Nothobranchius furzeri: one gene and its partners. The protein of the gene in region 1 binds, or shares a complex with, the protein of each later gene. Links are inferred from orthologs where the notes say so. Each region holds a gene or a part of one and is shown in the gene's direction. Other genes may lie near its edges.

Evidence for each region.
Region 2: the proteins of orc3 (region 1) and orc5 are in contact, whole or in part, in a cryo-EM structure (PDB 7JPO), measured with the Homo sapiens proteins. The link is inferred for Nothobranchius furzeri from reciprocal best matches to the Homo sapiens genes ORC3 and ORC5. Residues at the interface, in NP_036513.2 of Homo sapiens: Glu99, Val109, Met144, Lys145, Leu148, His178, Ser180, Met181, Asp182, Glu223, Asp232, Ile235, Ile236, Gln239, His240, Ala253, Thr254, Ser255, Pro256, Ile257, Ile258, Ile259, Arg261, His265, Ser269, Cys272, Ile273, Glu274, Leu275, Ser280; in NP_002544.1 of Homo sapiens: Asn62, Val64, Glu65, Phe67, Thr68, Arg70, Leu71, Gln75, Tyr129, Leu270, Arg271, Ser274, Ser275, Ser276, Gln277, Leu294, His297, Thr298, His299, Val300, Glu301, Leu302, Pro303, Tyr304, Tyr305, Ser306, Asp360, Tyr367, Arg373, Pro376.
Region 3: the proteins of orc3 (region 1) and orc2 are in contact, whole or in part, in a cryo-EM structure (PDB 7JPO), measured with the Homo sapiens proteins. The link is inferred for Nothobranchius furzeri from reciprocal best matches to the Homo sapiens genes ORC3 and ORC2. Residues at the interface, in NP_036513.2 of Homo sapiens: Thr3, Ser4, Ser5, Met6, Ser7, Lys8, Gly9, Cys10, Phe11, Val12, Phe13, Lys14, Pro15, Arg20, Ile22, Ile26, Tyr29, Phe30, Lys32, Tyr47, Val111, Thr112, Lys139, Asp318, Lys326, Gln329, Leu330, Leu333, Tyr337, Glu589; in NP_006181.1 of Homo sapiens: Leu239, Glu242, Tyr243, Ala246, His247, Asp268, Arg273, Leu276, Val279, Ser280, Phe283, Glu286, Leu287, Leu290, Lys296, Leu297, His299, Lys300, Met302, Leu303, Gln304, His306, Leu307, Phe309, Tyr314, Gly315, Leu316, Arg320, Glu324, Arg327.

What each region holds. Positions count from the first base shown.
Region 1 is NC_091758.1:29,124,151-29,133,694, reverse strand, and holds orc3 (origin recognition complex subunit 3), read left to right. Parts: upstream 1-4,278; 5' UTR 4,279-4,374; coding exon 4,375-4,398; intron 4,399-4,504; coding exon 4,505-4,559; intron 4,560-4,642; coding exon 4,643-4,740; intron 4,741-4,813; coding exon 4,814-4,952; intron 4,953-5,047; coding exon 5,048-5,152; intron 5,153-5,247; coding exon 5,248-5,411; intron 5,412-5,488; coding exon 5,489-5,628; intron 5,629-5,708; coding exon 5,709-5,868; intron 5,869-5,942; coding exon 5,943-6,056; intron 6,057-6,139; coding exon 6,140-6,273; intron 6,274-6,355; coding exon 6,356-6,419; intron 6,420-6,491; coding exon 6,492-6,608; intron 6,609-6,706; coding exon 6,707-6,786; intron 6,787-6,985; coding exon 6,986-7,119; intron 7,120-7,186; coding exon 7,187-7,281; intron 7,282-7,360; coding exon 7,361-7,449; intron 7,450-7,535; coding exon 7,536-7,677; intron 7,678-7,748; coding exon 7,749-7,865; intron 7,866-7,945; coding exon 7,946-8,025; intron 8,026-8,329; and 3 more. Other genes in the region: znf292a (zinc finger protein 292a), read left to right, coding at 1-3,128; akirin-2, read right to left, coding at 8,977-8,987, 9,081-9,152. UniProt on the Homo sapiens protein: Component of the origin recognition complex (ORC) that binds origins of replication. DNA-binding is ATP-dependent. The specific DNA sequences that define origins of replication have not been identified yet.
Region 2 is NC_091741.1:42,933,551-42,943,060, forward strand, and holds the start of orc5 (origin recognition complex subunit 5), read left to right. Parts: upstream 1-3,846; 5' UTR 3,847-3,983; coding exon 3,984-4,097; intron 4,098-4,771; coding exon 4,772-4,864; intron 4,865-6,064; coding exon 6,065-6,250; intron 6,251-6,459; coding exon 6,460-6,534; intron 6,535-9,510. Other genes in the region: lhfpl3 (LHFPL tetraspan subfamily member 3 protein), read right to left, coding at 2,263-2,698. UniProt on the Homo sapiens protein: Component of the origin recognition complex (ORC) that binds origins of replication. DNA-binding is ATP-dependent. The specific DNA sequences that define origins of replication have not been identified yet.
Region 3 is NC_091751.1:63,945,616-63,955,137, forward strand, and holds the start of orc2 (origin recognition complex subunit 2), read left to right. Parts: upstream 1-3,622; 5' UTR 3,623-3,759; exon of another isoform or gene 3,760-3,893; 5' UTR 3,894-3,895; coding exon 3,896-3,965; intron 3,966-4,084; coding exon 4,085-4,243; intron 4,244-4,614; coding exon 4,615-4,701; intron 4,702-4,790; coding exon 4,791-4,880; intron 4,881-4,956; coding exon 4,957-4,988; intron 4,989-5,067; coding exon 5,068-5,125; intron 5,126-5,200; coding exon 5,201-5,499; intron 5,500-5,578; coding exon 5,579-5,688; intron 5,689-6,906; coding exon 6,907-7,039; intron 7,040-7,127; coding exon 7,128-7,224; intron 7,225-7,309; coding exon 7,310-7,456; intron 7,457-7,577; coding exon 7,578-7,749; intron 7,750-9,046; coding exon 9,047-9,108; intron 9,109-9,176; coding exon 9,177-9,295; intron 9,296-9,375; coding exon 9,376-9,459; 3' UTR 9,460-9,522. Other genes in the region: zgc:162816 (D-serine dehydratase), read left to right, coding at 1,046-1,151, 1,352-1,441. UniProt on the Homo sapiens protein: Component of the origin recognition complex (ORC) that binds origins of replication. DNA-binding is ATP-dependent. The specific DNA sequences that define origins of replication have not been identified yet.

The sequences.
Region 1 (9,544 bases):
GCGATGCCGATGCCCAAAAAGGAAAACGCAGCAGGCTGAGCAAGCGAACCAAATGGCCCGCAATCATTAAGGACGGGAAAGTTATTTGCAGGAGGTGTTTCAGAGAGTTTACCAGCACCAAATCTCTCGGAGGTCATCTTTCAAAACGCTCACAGTGCAGACCTCTTGATGAAATTGACCTGACAGCAGACCTGCCGACGTCATTTTTGGATTTCCTTAATGACCCCCATGTTCCTGACACTAATGGATCATTGTATAATTTGCCAAATGGAGGATTCTCTGAGGAACCATGCAACTTGACCACGATGAATTCACCTCTGATGTTGAAGAAGGAACCCCAGACCACAAACATAATGGACCATTCAAAACCCTTCTCAGCTGGCCCTGAAGACCAGCAAGAAAAAACACCCGAGCTGGCTAGCCCTCCAGTTGCTGGATGTTATCGGGAGAGTAACCTGATGGAAGTATCACATGGATTTCAAAAGATGGATTTGATTGAGGCTGCGCAAGCAGCACAGGAGAAAATTCAAAATGTCTTGGCCTTGGAGCAAAATTCTACTCAAAGCAAGAAAACCCCTGAAATAGAGAAAGGTAAAACACCAAGTAAACGTGATGGGAAGCCTACTGAGAAGATACCTAAACCGTTTAAGTGTGACCAGAATGACTGTGAGTACTCATTCATGACGAAGGAGGCTTTATTCAAACACTTGTGCAAAATGCATGATTATACCAGCGAAATGATCGAAGAGCTCAAAAGAACCCCATCCAAACTGGCTCCATATCCATGTCAGATTTGCTCAAAAACGTTCACAAGAACAACGGGGTTGAGAATTCATTATGAAAAAGTTCACCGTCTGTCAAAGTCAGAAATGCAGAAGTTAAGAATCAATGCTCGAAGTCGGCGTGCATTCAGACTTAAAGATGGTTCTGTTAAAAATAATCGCCCAAGCACTGAACCCAGCACCAGTTGCACCAAAAAGTCTGCATCTGTGATCCCTATTTTAAAACAGGAACCACTTGACATTGCAATTGCACCTCAGCCGGTTATTGAAAGCAACCCAAATCTCCCTGACATCCCTTCAGGAGAGGCTGTAAAACGGATCTCGACACCAGAGATGTCAACTGTTACACGTCTACCGTCTCCACAAAACTATCTGGCTGAAAGGATGCATGAAGACGTGGCACCTCCTGCCCTTGAAAGGCCTCCAGAGCAACCTAAGGTATCTGTCACAGACAGGAGCCCAGAGGTGAAAGTGAAAGTCAGTGTGAAAGAAAAATTGAGTCCTTTAGCCAAAATAAAGGTGCAGCAAGAAAATTCTGATATGTCACAGATTAAAGTAAAAGAACCAAAGCCCTCCGCAATGTCTGCTTCGTCTTCTACAGCTTCTGCATCATCCTCCCCAGAGAAACCAAGCAGCTCTAAAAGCACACCAACAAAGGAGGAGAGAAAAGAAAAAAATCAAAAAAGGCTGAGTTTAAAAATGTGCGACACAGACAATGCCTACAGCCCGTATAGACCTTATCGCTGTGTTCATGAAGGATGCACTGCAGCTTTCACCATCCAGCAAAACTTGATTCTCCATTATAGAGCCATGCATCAGGCATCGCTGCCCTCAAGCAAAATCGAATCCGAGACAGAAAAGGTCGCTGTTGTTGATAGACAGGAGAGCATTGAGTGCATAGGAAAAGATGACGAGGTCAGGTGTCAGGTAAGAAATTGTTCCAGGGTGTTCATGGGTATCACAAGGTTAGTGCAGCATTACCTCTTACTTCACAAGTTCACCTGCGACAAAGCCACTGCCATGATGGCCAGTATGACCCTAGGAACGTTTAACTGTGACCGCCCAGAATGTGCTCTCCCTTTCAACTCCGTGGAGAAGTACATTGAGCACATTAAGAATTTCCACAAAGAGATTGCTGTGTCTGACAGAGGATCAGTTGATCCAACCTTCCGGTGCCAGTATGATGGATGTGACCGTGTGTACACTACAAAATCAAACCTCCTTCGCCACCTGATCAAAAAGCATGATTATATTTATGATCCCAAAGCGAGCGACGGAAGACGAACTAAATCAATCGGGCTCTTTCCAGGGATTAATAACGGGAAGGAGAATGTAGACAATAAATTCAAAATGAAAAAGAAAAACACTAAAAAGAAAGACGGGAAATCCATTGAACACTGGACTAGTTTTGGCAAGCCTACACTAAAAACCCACGAAGAGGCATCAGCCATGTGCACCAAGAAGTCCCCCCTGCAGTATCCGTGCATGATCATCGGCTGCGACGCAGTAGAGCGGGCTGAAAGAAACATATTCAAGCATTACACAACTCATGGCCTCACAGAAAGATACATAGAAGATCAGAGAAGTCAGTTCATTTTCTGCAAAAAGTATTCACGCTCCAGATTCAAAGATGCAAACAAATTAGAAGGAGCAGAAAGTTCTTCTTCTGAAGAGACGGAGCTTGAGGAAAGCGTGAAGCCTATTGAGGGGAAAACGGAGGAGACTTTGGTGGTGGAACAAGAAAAAGTCGAAGAGAAAGTCGAAGAGAAGGAGGACGCCAAGCTGTCCAACGATGATAGCGCAGAATCTCAAGCTTCCAATGGCACAGGAGTCGGACCTAAAAGGGGGCGTCCTAGAAAACCTTCACAGCCTACACCAGCATGTCCAGAAAGGATGCAGACCCTTAGAAACCGCTTGACTGTTAACAGTTCCGGAGAGAACTCAAATCCCGGTACCCCTTCGACCCAAGAGCAACGAGAAGATGGGGCTTCACCGGGATGTTTCAAGCCTTTAGGACTCGAGGACTCCTTCCTCAAGTTCTTGGAAACCTCAGAGACAACAGTTTCTTCTAAACGTAAAATAAATGAGAAACCCAATTCTGAGGTGCCGCACAAAAGACAACAGACTCCCAAACTGAAATCTGGAAGTAAAAGTCAAATGACGAACGACATTAGAGGTTGTGAGAATCTTATAGACTTCAGAAACCCTGTAAAGCTAAATTCTGTGAGTAATGTAAAAATTGTTATGGATAAAACATTTTCAGATGGTGCTGAACTTTTACTTAAGCAGCTACAACATATGAGACCCACGGTTATTATAAAAAAGAGGATTTTTAGTGAATCATAGCTCATTTTGTTGTTGTCTTTTTGTTTCCTACCCTGTCTTACTCAGGATTTGAGACGTTATGCTGCAGAATGATTTGTTTCTTAATGCATCAGATTTCCAACTGTTAACAGTCATGGTCACAGTTAACAATGAAATGGCCTATTTTGTACCTAATTGAAAAAATATGTCTCTGATGATTTTAACTATGTATGTTAGTTATAATAACCAGGTAAGCTATAGGGCATAGATTTTAGAACCATGTTTGTATTTATGCTTAGTACTGAATATGTTTTTTTTCTTTTACTAAATGGACACCTTTTAAAGAAAACTATGTTTTTATAAATATCCCTATGGGATTTCGAGTCCTGTTTGTATTTATTTCATCCCTTTTCAACACTAGTAGACCTATCTGTAATATTTACATGTCTTCCACAAAGTGTTCAATAAAATGTTACTGGTTCTTTTTTATAAAAGCACGAGTGAAATCTTGTCTTTTTAAAAATGTCATCAATTTGATCTACAAATACAACAACACAGCTGCTTAAACCCAGTTATTCATGAAATTGTAACTTCTTGAATTAAATAAACTTTCAAAGATGATCTCATAAACCATTTTAATTTATAGCACATTTAAAAACGGCATGATCAAAGTGCTGTACACGGAAGGATTAAGATTCTGGGAAAGGGATAAAATGCAGCATTCACAAATTGGACGAAGCTAGAGCCAGTTTAAAAGATTTAAATTATACTTTATTATAATCTGCAGAATCACATTCATAATGTATTGTCAATATGTTTACTTTATTCATAAGTAGTTTATGAAGCTGTTCTGAATTTATAACAAGCTCCATTTTTATTTTTATTTAAATTCAAATAAAGCCAAATTACTTTTAATCTAAAACTAAAAGATGTGGTAAACAAGACTAATACACATTGTGGATTACATGCATTTTATAATACACAGAAAATGTGTTTAATATTTGAGTCATTCAATTTTTAGACAGCTTTGTGATATTTAAATATAAACACACAAAATAAAATATATGTGTGTGATCACGGTTACATTTTGTTGTCTATTATATTCTATGGCGGCATCTAATTATATGCTATAGCGGCTACATCTAATTATATGCTATAGCGGCTTGCCATACATTCTAACACTTCCAACCTTTTCCGTAAACGTCACTCTGGCGGGAAGTCGCGGCTACGTTTCATGAAAAGTAGCGTTTTTTTAAAAAAGAAACTACTACAAAGAGTTTGAAGAAAGATGGCCACCTCTTCTGTTTCAAAGGTAACTTCTTATAGCTTGTTGTCGTTCAACGACGTTTCTATTAACAAAAATGGAGACCTCGCGATATTTGCGTCAGACTCGACTGTGTTTTGCTGTGTCCCTTTAGGGCTGCTTTGTTTTCAAGCCCAGCGCTAAAAAGAAGAAAAAGACCCTTGATTTGGGTGAGCTATGTTACATTAGACAGAGAAGAGTTGTTAGTTGGATCTGTTTGTTGCGATATAAACGTGTCTGTATTTTTACACAGAGAGCTATTTCACTGATGGCTGTGAAGATGCACGGAGCAGTGAGTTGAGATTCGAGCTCTGCCAGGATCTGTGGGACCAAATCAAAACTGAGACAGAAGTAAGAACAAATTATAATATCAAAAAAATACAGAGAATGTGCAGATCAGCATAATCTTTTTTTTTTAAATAAGATTTTACAGGATGAGCTCAACAGAAAAGTTCTGGACAGTTTGTTGGAGTTCACCAAAAAATGCTCCTCCATCCGCCATCACAGTGACTGGACCTCACAGATGAGAGCAAGTGAAATTCCCACAGCCGCTCTCATCCTTGGTACCCAGTAGTTATTGTTTTGTTTTTTCAAGCTGCTAACTTGCATTATTACAAAAATCCCGCAAGCTGCATTTGACTTTCATCTCTCACTGCAGGCGTGAACGTCACAGATCATGACATGACCTTCCAGAGTCTGTCTGAGCTGCTCCAGACGTCTGTCACCCCCCATGTGGCGTCTGTGCAAGCCAAAGAGTGTGGAGGTGATGGGAAAAGCTTCAAAATATACAAACGCGTCAGGATTTTACTGTAAATGTCACAATATTCAGGAGTAGACTTTTTGGTTTTATTATTTCAGCTCTTAAGCATTTGATGAAGAAGGTTCTGGAGAGATTGATGGACACGGTTGTAGCTGTAGGTGATGATGATGATGATGAGGTGGAGGAGGAAACGGAGCAGCACCACAGGAGTGTTCACTGCTCCTTGACGACTCTCTGCGATTGGTATAGTAAGAAAACAAAGGTGAGGACACGACGCAGGTCCGCTCATGCAGGTTTTTAATTCGGCGAGGTGAAAACAAACGTTTTCTTGGGTTTAAGAAATCCAGCAGTGGAACTCCCGGAAAAAAGCGCAGTTCTTTGGTCGTTAACGAGCAGCAGGAGCCTCCGGTGGTGATCGTCTTCAAAGATTTGGAAGCTTTTAATCCGAGAGTTCTTCAGGACTTCATCCTTGTCTGCAGGTGACTTTAGAGCAGACACGTGAGAAGCTCTCACGGTTTACGTTGGAAGGTTAAAACTGCGTCTGATGATTGATCCACAGCCGTTACGTTCAGCGTCTTCCCCTGATGTTTATCTTCGGGATCGCCACGGCGCCCAGCACCATCCAGCACATGCTGCCTCACTCTGTGTCCTCGCTGCTGTGCATAGAGCTCTTCCAGTCCCTGTCCTGCTCTCAGCATCTCACCACCGTCATAGAAAAGGTGCCTTCACCGTGACATCTGTGCATGCTGATCGAAGATTTTGAATCTGATAAAAGTCCATCCCTTCTTTCCAGTTGATCCTGACACATTCTTTTCCCTTCAAACTCAACGGGAAAGTGATGCAGGTGCTGGTGGGCATCTTCCTCTACCACGACTTCTCAGTCAAAAACTTCATTAAGGGCCTGCAGGTGAGGATCGGGGTCTAAACGAGTAAGGTATGTAAATGTAAGGGACTGATTTTCTCCCGACTATCTTCCCGTCCTGGGTGCAGCTGGCCCTGCTGGAGCACTTTTACTCGCAGCCCCTCAGCGTGCTGTGCTGTAGGAAGGAGAAGGCTCTGCTGAACCTGAAACACCTTCGCCATGATGACCTGGAGAGGGTCAGGCAGCTCCCGTCGTTCAGGAGGTGAACAAAACCAGCTGAGATGATCATTTTCTATAACTGAATGAAAAAAAAAAAAGCTCTTTGTGTTAAAATTCGTTTTTAGGTTTGTGGAAAAGCAAGAAATAGAAGAGCAGGAAAAGCTCAGGACGGATGACTCTCATTTAAAGGTTTGTTAAAGATTTCAGTTTTTAGACGACTTTTTTTTTGTGCACAGGATTTTATCCTTTTTGTGATTTTAGAACGTTTGTCAAAAACTGATGAAGGATCTTCACAAATACCACAAGTGCTATTATCCCATTTTGAGGTGTCTCCACACTCTGACCTCATCGTTGCCTCGATACCCTCTCGGAAAACAGGCAAGAAAACAGTTTTAAACTTTCATTTAAACCATCTTTTTGCTTTGGTCTCACTTCGTTCTTTGATTTTTGGAGTCTCCTTTTTCTTACTGCTGCAGATCAGGGAGCTGCACTTGATTTGCCTGGAGAAGAACGTGTGGGAGGCGGAGGAGTACCAGTCAGCTGTGAATCTTTTAAAGTAAGCTGAGCTCAACATAAAACTTGTAATTTTTTTATTTTTTGAGGCATTTCTATTTAGCTATTTTGATGTAAACGCAATGCCATCTCTCCATTCAGTTGCAGCCAGTTAGATTTGCCACTAGGTGGCGACAAAGTTGTGGGATTTTTAGAGGTGTTCCTCCCCCTGGTGGTCAGTATTTTTGTACTTTTTTCTTCAGGATGCTGGCGAAAGACGAGCTGATCTCTTTGCTGCAGAAATGTGCAGAAATCCTGCAGCCCATCAGGTCAACTCAGATGAAGAGTGCTTGCGTCCAACTGGAGGAACTACTGTCCAAATTCCAGCAGCTGGATGGTAGTTCAAAGCAGGATTTTTAAGTTTTTTTTTAATTTATGATCATAATCTTTTGTTGTTCACACAGCACCTGCTACTGATCAGAGTACCGCTTCAGAGGAAAACTTCACCTCTCCAGTAAAAAACCTTCCAAAGAAAACAGATCTATTCCAGCTGCAGAAGGTACGTCCATCAGACATTTTTTTCTGTTCTTTGACGAAATACTTTTTTAAAGCCGTTTGGACATTTGATCTACTTGCAGACGCTGCTGGAGTCTCGCAGATCCAGGAAAAAGAGTCCGTTTGAGGCTCTACGTAACGAAGCTCTGGACTTTATCGACACTTTAGTGAAGTAAGAAATGAAAAATAAAACTTAGATCCACAAGAGTTGATTAAAGTAACAGAATAGCTAATTTAATGTGTATTTGTGCCAATCAGGAGTCACCTATCCCCCCCAGAGTCTCAGCCGCTGTATGAAGTCTGCTACTACAGTTCTTCAGCTGCTGTCAGACGCCACCTCAATGCTGCACCTCGCACCTCCATTCAGGCTGCACTCAGCAGCCCCTACCACTACCTTCAGGTTCGTCTTCATAAAACAACAGATTGCTCCTGTGGACGACGGTCAGATGTTGACGGTGGCTTTATTTTCAGAATGAGAGCTTAAAGTCCGACGACGGCACAGTGTCCAACTCTGCTCCGGATATCTGCATCGCATACAAGCTCCACCTGGAGTGCGGCCGACTGATCAACCTCTACGATTGGCTGGAGGTGAGTGAGACGAGCGTTTAGCTCCAGAGATGAGCCGATTTTCTGTCGGAGAGGTTTTGTTCGACTGTTTTTGTTTTCAGGCGTATTCCACCGTGATTTCTGCTGCCGAGGGGACCGATCCAGACTCCGACGGCTTCGGGAAAGTGGACGAAGTCAAACAGCATCCTTTCTGATTTCAGTTTCTCTACTAAATCTGAAAATTTTCAGTTAGAAAAACAAAACTAACAGTTGAGCAGCTGAAGTTTTTATTCAAACAAGAAGGGAAACATAGTGACACTTCAGGGAATTCACTTGTTTCACATGTTGAAGGGTTACACACACACACGCACACGAAGCAATTATGTCATTTTACTTTTTGCCCCTAGAAAATGTAACAGTCCTTGACAGCAGATGTGATCAGACTGATTTCATGGAAATCAGACAAAAAGATTTAAAATTTGTTTTTCCTCAACTTTTCCTTTCAGCGCTCGTTTCATCCGCGCCGTGGCTGAGCTGGAGTTTCTGGGCTTCATCAAGTCCACGAAGCAGAAGACCGACCATGTGGCTCGACTCACGTGGGGAGGCTGTTGATCTAATCTTCAAGGGGGGAAAAAAAACATAAATCTGTGGTTTTTGTGCTAAGTTGGACTCAAACGCACAGTTTTTCTGTAAATAAAAATCAAATGTCCCTGATTTTCTTAAGAGATATCAGTAAGGGGTGGAAATCTAATTAAAAAAAAATTAGCCCTCACTTTATGCCTATTAAAAAAAAGAAAATCACTAAAGTTCTTGCACTCCCTTTCAGATTGACCAGCAAATCCTATAAAATGTTAGAGATTTCCTCATATTTACATGCAACAAGTCTGGAATGCTGGGAGTCATTACAAAAGTAAGATAGCTGGAGGGACAGAGGCCACTGGTGGAGACGGGGGCCGCTCATTTACATCAGGAAGGACACGGCTGCTTACAACACACTGCCAACAACAGCTTCATTCAAACCTTGTTTTGCCCAACAGACGTATGGCACGGTAAAAAGTTTCATTTAAACTAGCTAAAATCAAATCTCTCCCAACGAGGAACTCTTAAGAAGCATCATGACGAGCTCGCTTCCTGCAAAGCGTCGGTGCCACACTCAGGAAACATCTGGAGAAGAGAGATGAAATACACAAACCAGACCCGTTAGCTGAATCCAGGCCAGTGGAGCAGGAATGTGGAAAGAAAAAAAGAGGAACTCACAGCTCGCCGGCTGCTCTCCGAATCGTCGCATTAACTGATCGTGTGTAAATTTCACAAAGGTGTCGTATTGTTCTGGAATTTCAGAAAGGAATCGGTTAACGCTGCCGTCACTCAGATGCAACACGTTAAAAAGGAGAGGTTGGGGAATTTAAAAGCATGTCTGGTGAACTAAAATGTGTTACAGAACATGCTCCATCTGATGGTTTCAGCAAGTTTGTGATTTATTCCTGCAAAACAACAGTAACCTCAGTTTAACTGACACTCTGGACATTTTGATCAAACACCAGTGCTGGGAGCGTTGCTATTAAAAAGTAATTATAGTTACGGATTACTTTGTCAAAAAAGTAAGTCAGTTACAGAGTTACAAGATTATAAATGTAACTAATTACCAAGAAAAATATTTTGTTCCTTTTTTATTATTAAAGCAAGAAAAATGGGGTCCCTTCTTAATTAAACTTAATTGA
Region 2 (9,510 bases), on another chromosome or scaffold:
AAAAATATTATTACTTACAAGTCCATTAGCAACAAAGCCAGGTCAACATCAGTTTGTGATTTTGTAGCCTCCTTTAGCTCTCTCAGACTAGTGTTGGCCGCGCCAATGTTCACTCTGATTTTAGCGATTTGCTTCACCTCCAAAGACATTATTATCTTACTTTTACTTCCAGGCTCCGCCATGATGCCAACAAAAAAGCAAACTTCTTTTTCTTCTTGTGCTTTTTTTTTGATAATTATCAAAGTGAAAAAGCTAACTGCTAGCGTAACAGCTAACAGCTGTAAAGAAAATAAAGATCACCCCCAAGGACACCTTCCTGCTCCACAAAACTGTTAAGTGTGGTATCTGGCCAGGCTGCAGAGCGGTGTCAAATATGAAGCTGGTCAAGTTTCAAACTCAACAATCACTGAGCTCAATGTTCAAGCTCTAGCTTAAAGTAAAAAAAACAAAAATCTGTGTTTTTTTAAATAAAGCCCCATAAAGTCTCTCCTCTCTAAAAACCACAACAACCCAGCTCAAGTTTACAAAGATGAACCAGAAATTACCTCCTTTGGATGTTTGTCTGTGATGTTTAATCATAACAAACCAGACCACTGTACAAGAGAAAATCATATAATGGACTGGGATAACACGCAGATCATAAACACAGAGGAACAGAAATTCTGAAGATGGATCAAAGAAGCAATAGAGATAAAGAGACGTGGACGCAGGACTATGAACAGGGACGGAGGAGTTTACACCTTGGACCACTCATTGGACACAGTAATCAGATCAGCAGAGAAGGCACGGGCAGCAGAGGGCGATATCATCCTCTGCTGCCCAGGGATAAAAGGAAGTGATGCCATCAGCATCCCGGTTTCTCCGACAAAGGCAGCAGAGAACATCGAAAATTCACTGTATCACCTTGTGTACAGAGAAGAACTAAAGAAAATGAAATTGGATAACCAACTCAGTGCAAATGTAACAAAGATATTAAACCAAATCTATCGCATTAGAACAGCTTATACCAGCTATACAGCACGGTGGTGGTGGGTTGATGATTTGGTCTGTTCTGTGGCTAGGACTTTGATGTCTCTGAGCTGTGATTATTTTTTGTTCACTCTCATTTATTCAGTTGTAGATAATGAGTCTGAAATATTAAAATACATCCTGACAGAAATATTTTCATAACAGTGACTCCTGGTCCTACAGGGCCACCACCAGCAAATTTTAGAGGTTTCTCTGCTTCAACAGTCCTGATTTTAATCAGTGGGCGATGAATAGGCTTCTGCAGAACTGAACTGGTATTTCTGAATCAGGTGTTAAATATATCATTTTTGTGAAAGCTGCATACTTTAAGATAACCTAATGCAAAGCTGTTCTGCCTCCTCTACATGTTGCCTTTTAATGATTTTTATTTAGAATATTTTGACGAGAATGGTGCAGGAAATCATTAATGTCTATTTGATGTGCAAAATAAAAAAAATGCATTTTTACTATTTAAGTTTCAAGGCATTTAGTATGGCGGTGCAGTGGTTAGAGCTGTTGCCTTGCAGCAAGAAGGTCCTGGGTTTGCTTCCCAGCCTGAGATCTTTCTGCATGGAGTTTGCATGTTCTCCATGCGTGGCTTCCTCCCACAGTCCAAAATTGGTCTGTCTAAATTGTCTTTAAGTGTGTGTGTGCATGATTGTTTGTCCTGTGTGTCTCGGTGTTGCCCTGCGATGGACCGGCTCTCTGTCCCCCCGCGACCCCACAAAGTAGGTTCAAGGCATTTAAACCACTGAAAAGGCAAAGCTGTGGTCAGTCATCCATTACAAGATTTTAGTAGTTTACCAGGTTTTGTTTAATTTCTGATCATGATCCTCTGCATGATTTGTTTTAATATAATAAATATTTTTATGATGGGAGCTTAACACATTTTGAATGTGCACAAGCAAAGAGAAAATGCGTCCTTTCTTTTTTATTTAATTTTACAAATTCCAGAATATTTTCATAAAGTTGTGCAGAGTGCTCCTGAAACTAAAATTTGCAGCTCAGTAGATTAGTGCGCTTTTAAAGCCTCTACAGATTCAGAAATTCAAAGCAGATGATTTCTTTCTTTGGCCTTATGTTTTTGGAAGCTAAAAAGCCACACATTTTGTTTTTGAGATGAAAATTTGAGGTAAGCTCTCTTAGTTTTCAGCTTTTTCCCACAACAAACATCTGATTGAGATATGAGAACAGTTGCAGATCTGGACAAGCTGAGTGCTGGAGCTCCCCATACCTGCCGTCCGAGTTTCCTACCTGCAGCCAGCTGCATCCAGCCGCAGATCTTGTACACCGTACCGGTGCTGCAGAAGAAGAAAAGCGCGAAGCAGCCGATGCACGTAAGGACTAGAGACATGGACATGCCGATGAAGACCGAGGCAGCCTTGAACGCACCGGAGGGGATGCTGCTGAACTCGGCGAAGCTGCCCTGACAGGTCAAGTCCCGGGACAGTCCATTTCCGATGCAGTAGTGGAACAGACCGAAGTAGCCCACCTGCGGGGTGTCCGCACCGTCTCCGATCCAGTAGGGCTGGATGAAGCACACCACGTTAACGATGGCGAAAAGGATGGTGAAGATGGCCCACAGGACGCCGATGGCCCTGGAGTTCCGGACGTAGTTGGTTTGGTAGATTTTGGCAGCCTCGGAGGCAGGGAGCATGGTGGTGGTCGCGCTGGGAGCCCCGGGGACCATTTCCTCTGGTCTGTGTGGGGAGGATGCGGATCAAAGTGGCACCTGCCTCATCTGGTAATCAGCAGAACTTCCTCTGGTTCGGTTGTGTTTTCTTTCCTTACACTCGTGTCCACAGCATCAGCTGCACTGTATAGAGGCAAGGCCGGGTCCTGATTTCTGTTCTGGAGCTCCGATTTTCATTCATCAGCCTGCAGAATCGAAACGTGGCTCTGGGAAAATACGAGCGCCGGTAATCCATTTGCAGATTCATTCTCCATTTGCGCGCATATGTAGTGGAATGCAGTCCGCTTCTTATCAGGGGATGTGTGAGATCTCCCTGCACGGATCCGTCTGAGGAGCACAACCGCAGATGTCCGTGTATAGTACAGGGCCAACCCACATCCCTTAATCCCATTCTGACGTTGCTCGCGCGAAATTTCAAACACAAAGATTTAAAATGAAAAATGTACAGAAAATATGGTAACATGACTTCAGTGGCAATGAATTAGAGATTTTGCATGACTAAAAATTACTTATTTTTACTACTAAAACGAACAAAGATAAAAACACAAAGCGATCAGTGATCATTATGATTTTTCGGAATGTTTTCATTTTTAATCATCAAATCTTAATTCATGCAAATTAGTAATTTTACCAAATGAACTGATTTTTTTGCTATCTAGACTGACAAACAATCAAATATTTAAATTTAAGAACTAGACAGAGTTTGTTATTTCAACCAATATAAAACAGTGACGTATTAAAATGTTCGTTACAAAAGTAGTAGATTAAGTCAATGCTATTATTTCTGGATCATATTGTAGATAAATCCCTATATTACTAAAATACTAACCTAAAATCACCACATCAAATCCAAAATATGCTATTTAAATTGTGTTTAACCTTTAAACTACATTTCCCAGAGTTCTGAGCTCTATTTTCATTGGGTAACAGAGGATCACGTTTCTACGCAATTCGAAGGCGCGCGAGAAAATGCAGCTAACGTTTTATCCAGTTCTCTTAAGAGAAAATGCATTTTCTCATCATTTAAAGTTGCTTACTTGGTTTCTTTCAGGGTGTTAGTTTACCCCCAACTTGTTCTATCGGTACTTTCCCGACGTTAATTCTCTTTTTGGCACTTTTTCCTCCCAAATTACCGCCTGTGTTCGTCTTTTCCGCCTCGTGTCGGTGGACTTTCAGTTACAAAAAGCCGAGTTTTATGCTAACTGTCACGGTTTTAGACAGATTATTCTAAGCCTCGTGACGATTAAACCGTGCGGGCATATTTGGGAGTTGGACGGTAAGGATGACGGGGCTGTTACAGCAACCAGGATACGACGAAGAAAGGCTAAAAAGAGTCTCAGAGCTGCTGCCTTGTAGAGAAGTCCAGGCTGGGATGCTGCTGTCTCTCATGGGACAGGTAGGAACTATAATGGTGGTTTAAAAGAATCGTTGGCTTGGTCTCCATTCTCACTGTCAGCGTTTGATTGTGTTTTCTCTGTCAGGTAAACTGGAGTTTCACGTCTGTAAACCTTTGTTTCGCAGGCACATTACAGCTTGCCGAAGATGCTCATCAAATCTTTTTGTGTTAGTGCAATGCAAGTTGTATAATCTTGATGGTGTCATTTGGCTGTTTGAGCACAACGGGCTGTCCTCAGTAGAGCTTTTTCAATTTATTGCATGATTTTTCTTTGCAGTACATATTTACACATTTTTATAATATAAGTTTGCTTGAGAAAATACAATGGTACCCAGAAACCTTCATATGTTTACAGACATCTAAACCTAAATAAAAGCTGCATCAAGATGACATAATTCCCTAATGTAAATTATGTTTGGGCAACTGCAGCAAAATATATTTTGGTGTAATTCTAAAGTTATACGAGAATCTAAAAAAATATCTAAAAAATATGAAGCTGTGGGATAATCAAGAGCCAGCAGTAGCTTATTTTTTTTTTTTTTTTTTTGTGACAAAGCTATTGTTACAAGCTTCTAATGTTGTGAGTAGATGATGACATTTTAATCCTTGGGAAATTTATACATTAAAATGCAAAAAAATATTGATACAAAAATGCTATTTTTATGCTCTTCCAGCCACAGCAGTACTGCTACCCTTCAGTCTTCATCTATGGCCATCGGTCCTCAGGAAAAAGTCACGTGACAAATATTTTGATGGAAGAGTTGGAGGTGAGAGATACTTATTGTCTATGGGTGCCTTTCCAAAAAAAAATTCATTAAATGGCAAATTTCTATGCTTGTCCCTCATTTCAGAAATTGATACCCATTTATTTATTACACAGACTAAAATAGTTTATTCCTTGTAATTAGGAATATTAAAGGTTACAGATAAGAAAAACCCCAAATTCATGCTCCATAAAATAAGAACATTATGAAGGGGTGAAGGTGGCTTAGGGGTTAGGAGTTCACTCTGTAACTGGTGGTTTACTGGTTCAATCCCAGGCTGTGTTGAGTTGGCCATTGTGTCAGACTGTCAGTGGTTGGAGGGACCTGTGGCACCTGTGTAAGGGAGCCTCGCCTCCGTCAAAATGCCCCAGTTTAGCTGTGGTTACAGTGTAGCTCATCAGTGTGTGAATGACTGTAGGTTGAAGCACTTTGGAGTCCTCTAACTCAGAAAGGCGCTAATAAACAAATGCAGGCCATTCATCACTTTGACATGATCTGTATTACATCATCATGAGAATGACAAGAAATAACCGCTTGAAATAGTTTATTTTACATTTAACAAGTCTATTAGCTTTACTTCATGAAATGTGGGCTGATTATAAAATCCAGAGTTTGAGCACAATAAGTCGCCTTTCTGGAAAAAAAAGATGGTTGAAGGACAAGTGATGAACATGTGGGCTTGTTTTATTTCAGAGTTGGATCCTTACTCTTTCAGCTTGTGTAAACCTTTAAACAGACCACTGCAGAGTACTATTACAATAACAAAATATCTAGAAGCAAACAAAGCCTTTTAAATCGTGTAGAATATTAAAATTTGTAGTTTATGGATGGCTACTTTCTTGCCAGTGGTTTTTATATGGGTTTTATTATAAAGAACTCAAAGTAGTTTGTGTTTCTTCTACAAACGTTCACATAAAAGTGGTGGCTACAAAAAGTGTACATCAGGGCCTTCTTTTGTCCAGAAAAGACCCGAATCACAAATACATTCATTCAAGGTTTTTATATAAAGGCCCCAGCATACTTTTTATTTATTTAATTTGTATTTCTTTCATCAAATGTTAGAATAAAATAGACTTTATTAATCACACAGTGGGGAAATTTATTACTTTTTAAATCGGATTAAAAATTAACACAGAGTGGAGTTTTTATGTTCACCCATCTTATGACTTTTTGACCTTCACCATTGCTCCTTCTCCTCCTCAGCTTCCTCACGCCACGGTCAGCTGCGTCGAATGTGTGTCTGTTGCGTTGCTGTTTGAACAAGTGCTACTGTCCTTCTTTGGCTGCGATGCTGCCTCGCTGCTCCCTCGTAGTCCCTCCTTGTCTGACTTTGTGCGGATCTACAGGCAACAATCCTCCCAGTTTCCTGCTGAGCAGACGCGATACATCGTGAGTGACACATCTGTGTTATTTATGATGCCATCTGTTGTAATGCAAGTGGTAAACAAAGCTCCAGATGTATTGACCTGACGTTTCTGTGCCAGAAACAGTGTTAATTTGATGTAGAATTTGGACTGAAAGTGTTTTTCATTTAAACACCTTTTATTTAGTGAGTGTAAATGTTGTAAACCGAAAGTAAACACGTGGATATGTTTCAGATTATGGAGAAGCCTGAACTTCTAAGAGACGCCGATGCCAATCTTCTTCCTGCCCTCCTTCGTCTTCAGGAACTGGTGAGAAAACACAGCTCGCTCTTTGTGGTGTTTATCACCCAAAACGCTTTGTTGTTGATAAACTGCGCCGATGATGAAGAGTTTTATTAGTGAGGAAATGTCCTTGAGCTGCTGTTTGTAGAGAGCTCTTTCATAATGCTGTTAGGAAGGAAAGATGGCAACCACTTGCTGCATTTTAAATAGACTCAAGTGATGTTTTTTTTCTGTACAAGCTGTGATCCTGTTGCAGTGCTGCCACATGGGATTTTGAAGTGATAATTAAGACGTAGAATCATGGGTATGTGGAGAATGATGTAAGAATTAAAGGGGACATATAATGCAAAACTCACTTTATGCATCTTTTTTTTGCTGCCAGGTGCCAATTAGTCTCACACATGGGATAAACATAATTACTGGTCAAATTAGCATCGTCTTTCAACACACTTTCTATATACATTTACATATTATACATAATTAGAAAGCTAGGATTCTTGTGATTCCAATGATATATGCCAGTCAAGGATACAACAGTAATTGTAGACAACGTACAGGCTTTTGTCAAACCACACTGAAATTCCTCCAAAATGTTTAACTCACCACTTGAAGCCTCATCATTGACAGAACAGAGCCATCTGAAACAAAATAGTGTTTTTACATCCAAAAGGGTCCAATAAAAATGTTACTCCAGAGGTACTCAAATACAAGTCTCAATGGGCCACATTATTATCATTTGTTAACACGCTTTGATACAATTAGCTTGAATACAACTTGCCTCCTTCAATCAAGGCAAGGCAGCTTTATTCATAGAGCACATTTCAAACACGGAGGCAATTCACTGTGCTTTGCAATTATCAGGACATGATATGAAAACACATAAAAACACAAATTAGAATACACACAGATGGAATTACAGTTTAGAGCTGAAGGAGAAGACAAAGTTACAACGCAGATTACAGCGGATTTGACGCATGATAAGAAACAATTCATTTAAAGGCGATTTAAACAACACTAGGGTTGGGGCAGATCTGAGGTCAAGGGGAAGCCAATTCCATATGTGAGCAGCATAGTAACTAAATGCATCTCCACCATGTTTTGTTCTGACCCGAGGTTCAGTCAAAACAGCAACGTCTGCATCATGTCTGCATCAGTAAAATACTTCTTGTGTTTCAATGTTCACTTTTCTTTTAGCCAATAATTGAAAACACACAATAATAAGTGTGTTTGTAACATGGAGTAGACACAACCATTGCTCTTTTGTGGAGTTGACACGGGGAAGTGGACTTCTGGTTATTTAAACTTGTCATCGTCTCTGAGATCATCACGCACAAAAAGTAGCTCCAACTGAGTCAGATTACGACCGTGACTGAAGTTAGGGCTGGGCAATAAATCGAAAATTTATCGTTAACGAAATTTCAGACTTATCGCAATTTTTTTTTCCATGTCAATAAATTTGATAATAAAAAAATGAAAAGATGTGTGTAGGTTGGCAACATTCATTTTTTTAAGAAGCTGTACCACCTTGAGCAACGTAAAAATGTGACTCAACGTAATTCATGTGACAACCTCATCTAGTGGGCAACTTTTGTTTCTGCGCATACCTGTAGTTATCGTCCATTTATCGTTATGGAGGTGAAATCCTCAATTTATCGTGATATTGATTTTAGGCCATATCGACCAGCCCTTACTGAAGTGATTCAACAGTAATATTAGAACAATCCAGTGAACGAGGGTTCATTTGGTAATGTTCTACGATTCCTCTGTATTTGTCTACAACAAACATGTACATGCATTGAAAGGCCCAACTCCCACTTACCTCGCTGAACTAATAAAACTGTATGCTCCTTCTAGATCCCTTAGATCAGCAGATCAGCTACTACTGTGCATCCCGAAGATGCACTACAAATCTCGTGGAGAGCGAGCATTCTCTTTCGCTGCCCCCAAACTCTGGAATGCCCTCCCCCTCCAAATACGACAGGCCCCTTCACTAGGCCGTTTTAAGTCTGCGCTGCAAACCTATTTTATCACCTTGCCTTTGGTCATTGACCTACTTTTACTATATCTTAGGACTGATTGCCTTTGGTGTTTTATTCTGTGCTTTCCCTGCTTTTATTTTCTCATGTTTTTAGTACCAATGACACTTTTATTTGTCTATTTTTAATCTCATTTTTAGGTTGTTTGATTTTATTTCTGTTTTTACGGAGCTCCTCTGTTCCCTGCTGCTTTGCTGCTTTTAAATGTGCTCTATAAATAAACATGGTATGGTATGTATGGCAAGCCCTTTTAACATTTATTTAACAACACCTTTTTGTAATTCCTTTTCTACATAGCAATTAAATTATTTATCATTGTCTAAAGGATATTCTTACTGGTCAGTTGTGAAAGTAAAGAAATGAACATGTAGAAATTATTTTAAAGGATATTCATTCTGTAACACAATAAATAAATAAATAAATAAATAAATAAATAAAATGTTCTATAACAAAATTCAACAAAATATAAATTCTGGTCCTTTGGTCCACCTTTGTAAAATAATTCCTCCCTAATCAGTTAGCTTTTATTTATTTTTATTTATCTATTTTTTTTATTATTAAATGTTTGGTTAAGGGACGCATTGCTAATTCTATGGCGTTAGCTATAACGCCCCTGAGGACCTTGTACATCTAGGCCGTACCACCATTAACTGGCGGTTTGAGCCGTTAACTCCTGGGAATCCCATATGCCCTACCGCCGTTAACTGGCGGTTTGAGCCGTTAACTCCTATATGCCCTACCACCGTTAACTGGTAGTTTGAGATGTTAACTCCTGGGATCTAACGTCTAGCAGCCCACTGCTGTCACCTCGGTTGCTGTAATTAGCTTTTTGAATTTAATAATTTACTGAATTTAATCTCATTCACTCACCAACGCGCTCCAACGGTTCCCTCCTACAGAGGATTGGTTCACTCTGTCGTCTCCACACAAATCTATAAGAATGGAATTAATTTGATAAGCTATTTAA
Region 3 (9,522 bases), on another chromosome or scaffold:
GGAGGGACATCGTTTCGGACATCAGCTACAGTCTGTGGCGAGCTAACGGTGCAGCGCCGCCAGCATTTCTAATTCGACACTGGCAAGCTCCAGAGTTGTTTAAAGAACCAGTGCCAGTAAACAGGAGTGACCCAGAAGTTATTTCTTGTAACCCTAAGAAGCCACAACATCTTTTTGTTTTACTTGAGTGAATCAGGCTAGAGGCTAACGCTGAGCTAACAGTTATAATGGTGAATTAGGAGCAAGTACTCGGCTCTAAAAATATCTTAAGCTACTTTCTCAATTAGCAACATCTCAGTATTAAAGTGAAATGTGTGTGTGACATGAATAATGAGTCAATCGCAGCATTTTACTTCCTTTAATGAGTCGTTCAGAACTATTAGAGCAAGCTAACAGCAAGACGGCAAACAAACACACTTCCTGTAATGCCTGATGCATTACCGTAATAAGTGTAGTAAATGCTCTCTACCGTAAAATATCCAAGTGTGCGAACACCAGATGTTAGGGCTGGGCAATAAATTGAAAATTTATCGTTATCGACATTTCTGACTCTTATCGGGATAAATTGTTCCCGTGTCAATAAATGTGATAATAAAAAATGAAAAGATGTGTGTAGATGGGCAACATTCATGTCCCTTTAAGAAGCTGTACCACCTTGAGTCACGTAAAAATGTGATTCAACGTAATACACGCGACAGCCCCATCTAGTGGACAATTTTCATTTCTGCTAATACCTGTAGTTATCGTCCACTTATCGTTATCGAGGTGAAATCCTCAATATATCGTGATATTGATTTTAGACCATATCGCCCAGCCCTACCAGATATAATTATGTATTTATCTACTTATCAACTTTGCTTATCATCTAGAATCTTCTGGTGCTGATCTGTAACTGGCAAGAGCCATAAAACTCACAGAACAACAGTGAGACAGTAACTTTTTGTTTAGCAAAGTGAGCTGCAGTCACCATATTTGACCACAAGATGTCATTTTTACTTCATTCTTACATGTTGTTTATGTTGCACTTGGTTATGTATCCCTCCAGGTTGTCATCAATGACTCAGGAACATGGAAGACTGGAGCCCATCTCGGGTCATCTGGACTACAGCAAATACCCTCTTGGTACTTTGCTCTCGTTGATCCCCCACCACGTTAGTATTGTTTAATGTGACCTTTAGCAACCTGTCTGTAGGATTAAAAGAGGCTCGGTTAGAAGATTATATTCTGTTATCCAAGAAGCCGTCAGTGACGGGAGTTCCTCTGAAGGTTCTCATACTGGACATTCCTTCATGTGGTGTCGGATTCATTGTGTTGCTATTGTGTTTTAAAGTTTATTTTTATTTTATTTCAGTCCTGTGCGACAGCCATGATGCATCCCGTGTATCATGTACACTCCAAGGGTCGTCTGCTGGGGACGTGGAACCCCACCCGTGGGTGGTGAAGCCCAAGTTTTGACCTGGATGTTGTTAGATGAAGATACTTGTCCACCTAAAACAGCATATTTGTGGTTGATTAGACTGGTGTCTGGAAAAAAAAACATATCAGAGCCTGTTTTTATGAGACTTTAACCATTTTCTAAATCGATGTGTTGTAAAATTGGCCATCTTTGTTTTTACGTAATGTTATCTCTGTAAATCAAAGCAAATTTAAAAAATTTGTTTTTGTCCATTGTGTAGATAAATACATTTCAGTGAGACGAGTTGTTTACTGATTGTTTAATTAATATCATGATCATTCTTTCTGTCGCCATTTAAATGGTAGAATTCTAGCCTTAAACACATACAAAGGTTATATTTTAATGGAACATTTCTCACGTTTGATTTTGTCCCCTTGACCCTCTTGTATTATCTCAAAGGTGATGGGGGTTTTTTGCTGCCGATACCGATATCAAAGAATGCTGATCACCGATACCGATCATGTGGATTGGCCAGAAATTTTATACAACATTACAATGAGTGCTACAAACCACATAATCTGGGAATAAAGGAAATGTAACCTAATCTAAAATGGTCTGATCGGTCTGCTTTGATCTATTTTGAAAACTCCGATCAAAACCGATAGGGGCGCTATCGGCCGATTGGGATCAAATGCCAATCCATCGGTGCATCCCTAGTTCAAACCAGTGACTTAGAAATAATGGAAAATAAAGGCTTGACACCAACTATCAGAATTTGATCAGCAGTCTCCTCTCCTATTTAGGGACAATCGAAGAGACATAAAAATGTTGAGCTGCTGTGTCGCCCTGACCCTAAACCCTACTGTTATTTAATGCTGATGTTGTTTCAGTGATAACGTAGTTTTTTATTAAAGCTCAGTCATTTCAGTTTTTATTTTAAATCAATATAATAGGAATTATCAACCAGAACAAACCCAAACTTATGAGCGAGTGTATTTCCCTGCCTCGCCCCATGAGATCTCCGAGGAAGACATAAAAATGAATAACATCCAGAAGATTAAAGGAGGAATTTAGATCCACATAAAGGAGATTTTATACATGGTGGATTGTATTCATACAGAATTGAAGATGTTCTTGTCAAAAAAGTGCAGATATTGTCTTGTGTAAAACTGTATCAACTAAATTTTTGTAGTGAAAGGTGAAAAAATAAACTGTTTCAATGAGCAAAAGTGAATCCAAAGTGTTAAATAGTTTTCTAAATCTGGATTCTCACGAACAAATTTGTCAGTATAAATATAGACGCAACACTTTTGTTTTTGCTCCCATTTTTCATGAGCTGAACTGAAACCTCTGAAACTTTTTCTACATGCGGTGGGATGGATCATCTTGGTAGAGGGAAAGTGCTCACTAACACACACACACACGTAGACAGATTTCAGAATAATATTTGAGGCCGCTAGAACGAAAAGACTTAACTAATAGCAAGACATCTAAATCCCCTTTCTTTAGTGAATCTTTAACCGGATTGTGGAGTTGAATGAATACTAAATAAACAATAATCACAGCATCAAACGTGACACACACTGATTCTCAAGACTACTTGAAATTGAAACTGAATGAAAAAAATAAACATGGCAATAAAATGCCCTTTACAGATTACCAAGAAATGTGATTCTTATTGAAAATGACCACAAACTGAATGTAACTTGAAATATGGACATTAACTAATGTCAGATCAGATATCAACCTGAATCATTAAAGTATTTTAATCAGTATCCAGTCAATCCTTGTATTTAGGATTTGGTTTAATCCTAATTTATTATTTTTATAATTCATATATTATTTTTAAACATATTTGTAATCATTTTTTAAATCTTTTTATACTTGAATTTTTTGGTTTTGTGAAGCGCCTCGTGATTTTTAACTTGAGAGAAAAGATCGTTCTCTTTCTTTCTTTTCTTTACAACGTTAAACTTTATTTTCACAGTTCTATTTTCATTATTTTCACTACTTCTTCTTTTCTGTGCTTAAGCGTGTCATATTGTGTCCATTACATTTGATCTTACCTGTACAAAGTTTTTTCTACTGCTGTGAATTAGAGTAAGAATACCTGACTTGAATATTATTTGTCTGTGGACTTGTGACAGGCGGACTTGTTGAAAGGATTCTTGGGAAACGTAGTTTTACTGCTACTAGCGTTTTGATTGGCCACTTTATGACCTTTCCACTCAGTCACGTGATTTAAAATGTTCAGAATGGCGCGGAAACTTGTCACATCGCTTCTCAATTAAACTTTCCGACTTTAAAGTTTTGTTTATGTTTTAAATTTTATATTGTTTTGCGGACTTTTTCCGCCCGTTTGAGTAAGTCTCGACCTTTTGCGCTCACTTTCCTCAGCTTTAGCGCGAGAGTTCAAACCGACTCTAGTAGCAGGGCTAATTGTGTGTTTTGCTGCGTGGCTTCAGGCTTGTATCGTGTGTTTTGTGTTTATTGGTAGAAATGAGCGTGTTGGAGGTGAAGTTCGTTGGGGATGGGGATGTTTTGGAGCACATCGTGGACAAACAGGAGGGTATGAGCTGGTTTATCTCTGCTGTTTTGTTTTTTGCCCATTCGCTCTCGTTTTATGTGTGCGTGTGTGTGTGTGCGCGCGCGCGCGCGCGTGTGTGTGTGTGTGTGTGTTGTGACTAGTATTGCAGAGCAGTGCTGGCTCTGGGCTGAGGATGGTGAAGTTTAAGAGCCCGGCTGGACAGAGGGAATGCCTGGAGGAGACTCGGTGTGATGGAGATGAAAACGGAGTCCATGATGAGCTGGGTTATGTCCGAGCTTTAGGAACTGAAAACGATGAAGGTATCCCTTCCTTGGTTCTGGTTTTGTCCTGCTGCATTTTCACCCTCATCCTCCACTCTTCCATCCATAAATCTGCTCTTTGGCTTTCCTCCACGACTCCTGCCTGGCTGTTCCAGCCTGAGCATCCTTCTGCAGATTCCTCCATGTCCAAACCATCTTAGCCTGATCTTATTTCAAATCATCTAACGCAGTCCCTCTAATCCTGATCCTGTCACTCCTGAAGACAATCTCAACATTTTCACCTGCCCTGCCTCCTGTCTTCTCGGTGCCACTGTAGATCATCGAGTTTAGTATTTTGACATTACCTAATAAAGCCATAACATGAACCTAAATGTCTCTTAATGCCACTAATATGTTCTTTGGCTTCACAGAAGTAGACGATAATCCTTCTAGAGTTGCTGGTTCCTCCATCTTCACCTTCCAGAAAGTCAAACGAAGTCACAGCTTGGCCCAAACTGGTGAATCTCCGATTACCTCTCGAACGAAGGCTCAACGTTCATCTTCAGCTGCATTTATTAAACCGTTGTTTTGTTGTTTCCCTTCGTAGCGAGCGAACTGGCTCGGACCCCGGGAAAAAGCGTGAGCTTCACCAGGGACACAAACTCGGAACCCACCACTCCCTCTCGGACAGGCAGCAGTGAGTCGAGCGAACCCACTCCCCGTCCGCCTGTGCTCTCATTATGAAATGATCAGGTTTACTTTTGTCTGTCTAGGCCACGCAGGTGAAAACAGGACACCACAGAGGGTGAGAGAGCTAATACATTTCACTTTATCCAGTGAAGGATTTAGTTTGTTTTAATTTAGTTTTGTTTCTCCTGAAACAGAAAAAGAGTGTCCGGTTTGTCTCCACCACCCCTCACAGACTCAGGAAGAGACTTACAGGTACGCCTGGCCTGTTGTAGTTGTGTTCGTTTAGTAACGCTGGTGTAATCTGGGTGTGGTGGGGCTTATTTTCAGCACCAACTCTTCGGTCTGACAGCGACAGTGAACTCTCCCCCTCTGACTCTGAGGAGGACGAGCTCAAAGAAGAGCAGAGAGGGAAGCAAGAGGACAAGGAGAATGTGAAAAAGACGAGAACCCCTAGTAAAGGGCTTTCTGCAGCTCTCTACAAGACTCCTGCCAAGAGGAGCAAGAACACAGCCGAGCCTCTGAATCAGCCCACCATGACCGAGGAGTATTTTGAGGCTCATGGCAGCTCAAAGGTCCTGACGTCGGACCGGACCCTCCAGCGTTTGCACACCCCTAAGTTTGACCGGGTGTGTGAATTAAAAGTTACATGTTAGTCCATTATAATAAACCTTTGGCTAAACTCCACCTCTTTTACTTTTTGGACAGGAGACGTTGGATCGTCTTTTAGAAGATAAACCGTCTTGCTACTCAAAAGAGATCCAGCAGCTGCACGACAAACACAGGAAGCACTTTAACAAATGGATGTTACAGCTGCAGTGAGTGTGGCGGCGTGCCCTTTCCTACGGTTTGACTCTGTTCTACTAAAACGTCTCCCTAGGGGTTGTATGAACTAGTCGACTTCACGGCTCTGTAGTGACTTTTTATGCCTGTCATCGACTAGTCGCTGTCACGTGATAATGACTGACAAGATGCAGTCCTCCAGCAGGTGATGAGCCCCTGCGTCGGGAGGCGGAGGCGACGCGCTGTGCCAGAGCGTCGGTACTGACACCGGCGGTAAAACGGACATTTAACCAAACTGTGACCTTTACCCTCTTGCAATTTAACCTTCCCCTCACCCCCATCCTAATCTTAACCAGTTTGCGCATGCAAAGCTCTGATCGTTGACGCGCTCCAGACATCTGCGTCCAGAGCACCGCCAAATCAGGTGTCACCACCTCAAAAACTAACTAAACACGCGATCGTTCATGTCGGCTCATTTCCTTTCATGTTTTCTGTCTGTTATTTGTGCCTGATGCGTTTCGCTGCTGCGGAGCGAGGCTCTTCACCTGTTTTGTCCTCCGGTGACGCACCCCCAAGATTCCACTATCTCCGCTCCGGCACGAACTCCGCAGCAAAAACGGTCCCGTTGTAGTCGGCCGGCGAGCAGCGGCACTCCGCTGTTTTTGCGGTCGGTAGATCTTTTAGAACTGCAGTTCAAAGGTAACTCATAAGGTGAATATATATGAACCCAGGTAGCAGTTTTTCTTTAGGACTGAGAGGAGATGCAGGAAGATAATAAACAGGCAGGACAGAAAAATAGGCAAATAAAAACAAGTTAGTTTTTGTACCTGGTGGTTGCAACAAACAGACACCATTGAAGGTAATCAGAAGTGAGGAACAGAAAATGAACTAATTATTTTAATGTTTAGAGCAGCAGGAACTCTGAGAGGCTGCAGGCGCATCAGTGAGTTTGTGGCCGCTGCGCAGGGGGAGGGGGGAGAGGGCTGATGCAGAAACTACCGTTGTTAAAAGAGATGTTTAACTTAGAAAATTCTTTCTTTCAATTTGGGTGCAATTTTAATTGTCAAAAACTCCAGCGAACCTACCGACCCCCCCCCCCCCCCCCCCCCCCCCCCGCCGCCGCTTCAGGTGAATGACGTCATCAACGACTAGTCGAAGTCGACTCGATTTTCATTACTTGACTGTCGACTTTAAAAAAAATTAAGTCATGCAACCCCTACTTCTCCCAAGAGGTGCTTGTTGTTGGTTTGCAGGTTGGGATTCAGTGTTCTGGTTTATGGTTTGGGCAGCAAAAAGGCTTTGCTCGAAGACTTCAGGGTGGCTCATCTGTCTCAAGAGATCCACCTGGTGGTCAACGGGTTCTTCCCCTCCATTACTCTTAAAGCGGTTCGTAGACCAGTGAAAATGTGCGTTTTTATTGCGACTGTCTACAGAAAACAGAACAAACCACAGCTGTCATGTGATCGCGCTGCAGATATTAAACTCCCTGACATGTGAGGTTCTGGAGCACGAAGGAAGTTTCCGCACGCCGTCGGACCAGATCCAGTTCATCGCTCAGACCCTCAAAGGCAGTAAGTCGCTGAGTGAGCGAGACTAGTTGTCTCAGCCTTCACGTTTGTTGGATTTGTGAGTTTTACTTTTCTGACGTCTCTGCAGACCCAGGTCTCCGTGTGTTTTTACTGATCCATAACATTGACGGGCAAATGCTGCGAGGAGAGAAGACCCAGAGCGCACTGGGGCAGCTGGCGTCCTTACCAAACCTGCACTTGGTGGCTTCCATAGACCACATCAATGCTCCACTGGGTGGGTGGTCACGGGAATTAGTACCGCTGTCGGGATCACGGAGAAGCTGGCGCCCATCTCCATCAGCTCGTCACAGGGATTGGTCTGTTCTTGCACCTAAGTGTTCCTAATGTGTTTCCAGTGTGGGACCAGTTCAAGCAGAGCCAGTTTAACTGGTTGTGGTGGGAGTGTGTGACGTTCCAGCACTATGCAGAGGAGACGTCGTATGAAAACTCACTCTTGGTGCAGCAGACGGGTGCTCTCGCTCTGTCCTCCCTCACACACGTGCTCCGCAGCTTGACTCCCAACGCGAGGTACTGCAGCCATGTTGGTCCTAGGGATGCAACGATACCACTTTTTTCCAAACCGATACAATACCGATACTTGGATCTGAATATTTGCCGATACGATTACCGATACCTATACTTCTACCACACAAAAAAAAAGTTATGATTTGGAATACAGATTTTATTTTCTTCTCTGCTTTCAACGGGAAAAGACTGTGAGGTAGATAAAAAGTAAAATACATGAATAGAAATCATCACAAAACTAAATTATCAGGTGAACAGAAATGACAAGTTACAGTGAAGCCATTTTCAAGCAACTGCATTTGTATCGGTTTACTTTTACCGATACCGATACCAGTATCGTATCGGTATCTGCACCGATACCAGTATCGGTATCGGTGCATCCCTAGTTGGTCTCTTTATGCTCCCCTTCCCCCTCACTCAGGATTTCAGTCTCAAAAAGAAAAGCTAATAAATGCATCTTAATCCTGAAATAATCTTTGAAAAATCTACATTAACATGTCACATCTGTGATGTGGTGAACATCCTTCCAACGTTCCAGTTTGTTTTTCTCAAGGTTGGTTTATGCTTGACGCGTCCGCGAGGTCCGCACGACTCCGCGCGGAAAAGTTGCGTCATTTTGCGTCATTTTAACAACCACGCCCCTCCACCGTGCCTCCGCACGGCCCAGAATTTCCGCAACGTGCACCTCGGAAAATTTCTAACCACGCGGACGGACGGATGCGGAAAAACATGGCGGACCGGCAAGAACTAGTATGGCAGAGGTTCATAAATACAGACATTTGTATGATTCAGCTCTCAGAGATCACCGTGATCAACATGTTGTTAATAATTCTTGGAGAGAAATGGCTCGCACTGTCGGAAAAGACGAGGACGCTGTTAAAAATGCTGAAATGCCATGTTGTAAACAGTCATTTCTACTTCTACTATGGTGTAGTGTTGGAAGCATGCCGTAGAGCTCCATGCTGCCCCCTACAGTTTGGGAGAATATTGGCTCACCGCAGAGACGAGCCGCACAAACCATAAACGCTGCCGAGTTGTGAAGCGCGTTCCAGCCGCGACCCGCATCACCGCGCGGAAAGTGAACGCGTCAAGCATAAACCAAGCTTCAGCATCATAATTCTAAAGAGGGAAAAAACGGAAAACTTAACTGTGCTGCATTCCGGGATCTGTAGTTTTTCTGGTTGGTGGGAAGCGCGCCCACAGGCTGTCATAGTACCAGACGGGCCTGCTTTAGCGCTAGAACCGGATCTGATTACTTGTCATATTTTAGGTTTTTAACTGTCGTCTTTTACTCCTGCAGAGGAATCTTCAGACTGTTGGTGAAGTTTCAGCTGGAAAACAAAGACAACCCTTCATACACGGGTACAAAATCCTTCAGCTCCTCCTTTTCATTTCTTCAGTGTGTGACGGTTATAAACATTTGTACGCAGGGTTGTCTTTCCAAGACTTTTACCAGCGCTGCAGAGAAGCCTTCTTGGTGAACTCTGACCTCACACTGAGGACTCAGCTGACAGAGTTTAGGGACCATAAGCTGATTCGGACACGAAAAGTGAGCTTCACCTTACGTTTCCCGCTTCCGCTCTCTGTCCCAGCGTTTCTTTGCTGACTTTGCTTTTCTCTGACCTCCAGGGGGCCGACGGAGTGGAGTACCTGAATGTTGCCGTGGATGCGAACACACTGATGGACTTTTTGGAGAACGAGAAGGATGAATGAAGACAAGACTTAAAATATGTGACCTGTCATTTCTTGTAAATTTATTTGAGCCATTCACTTACT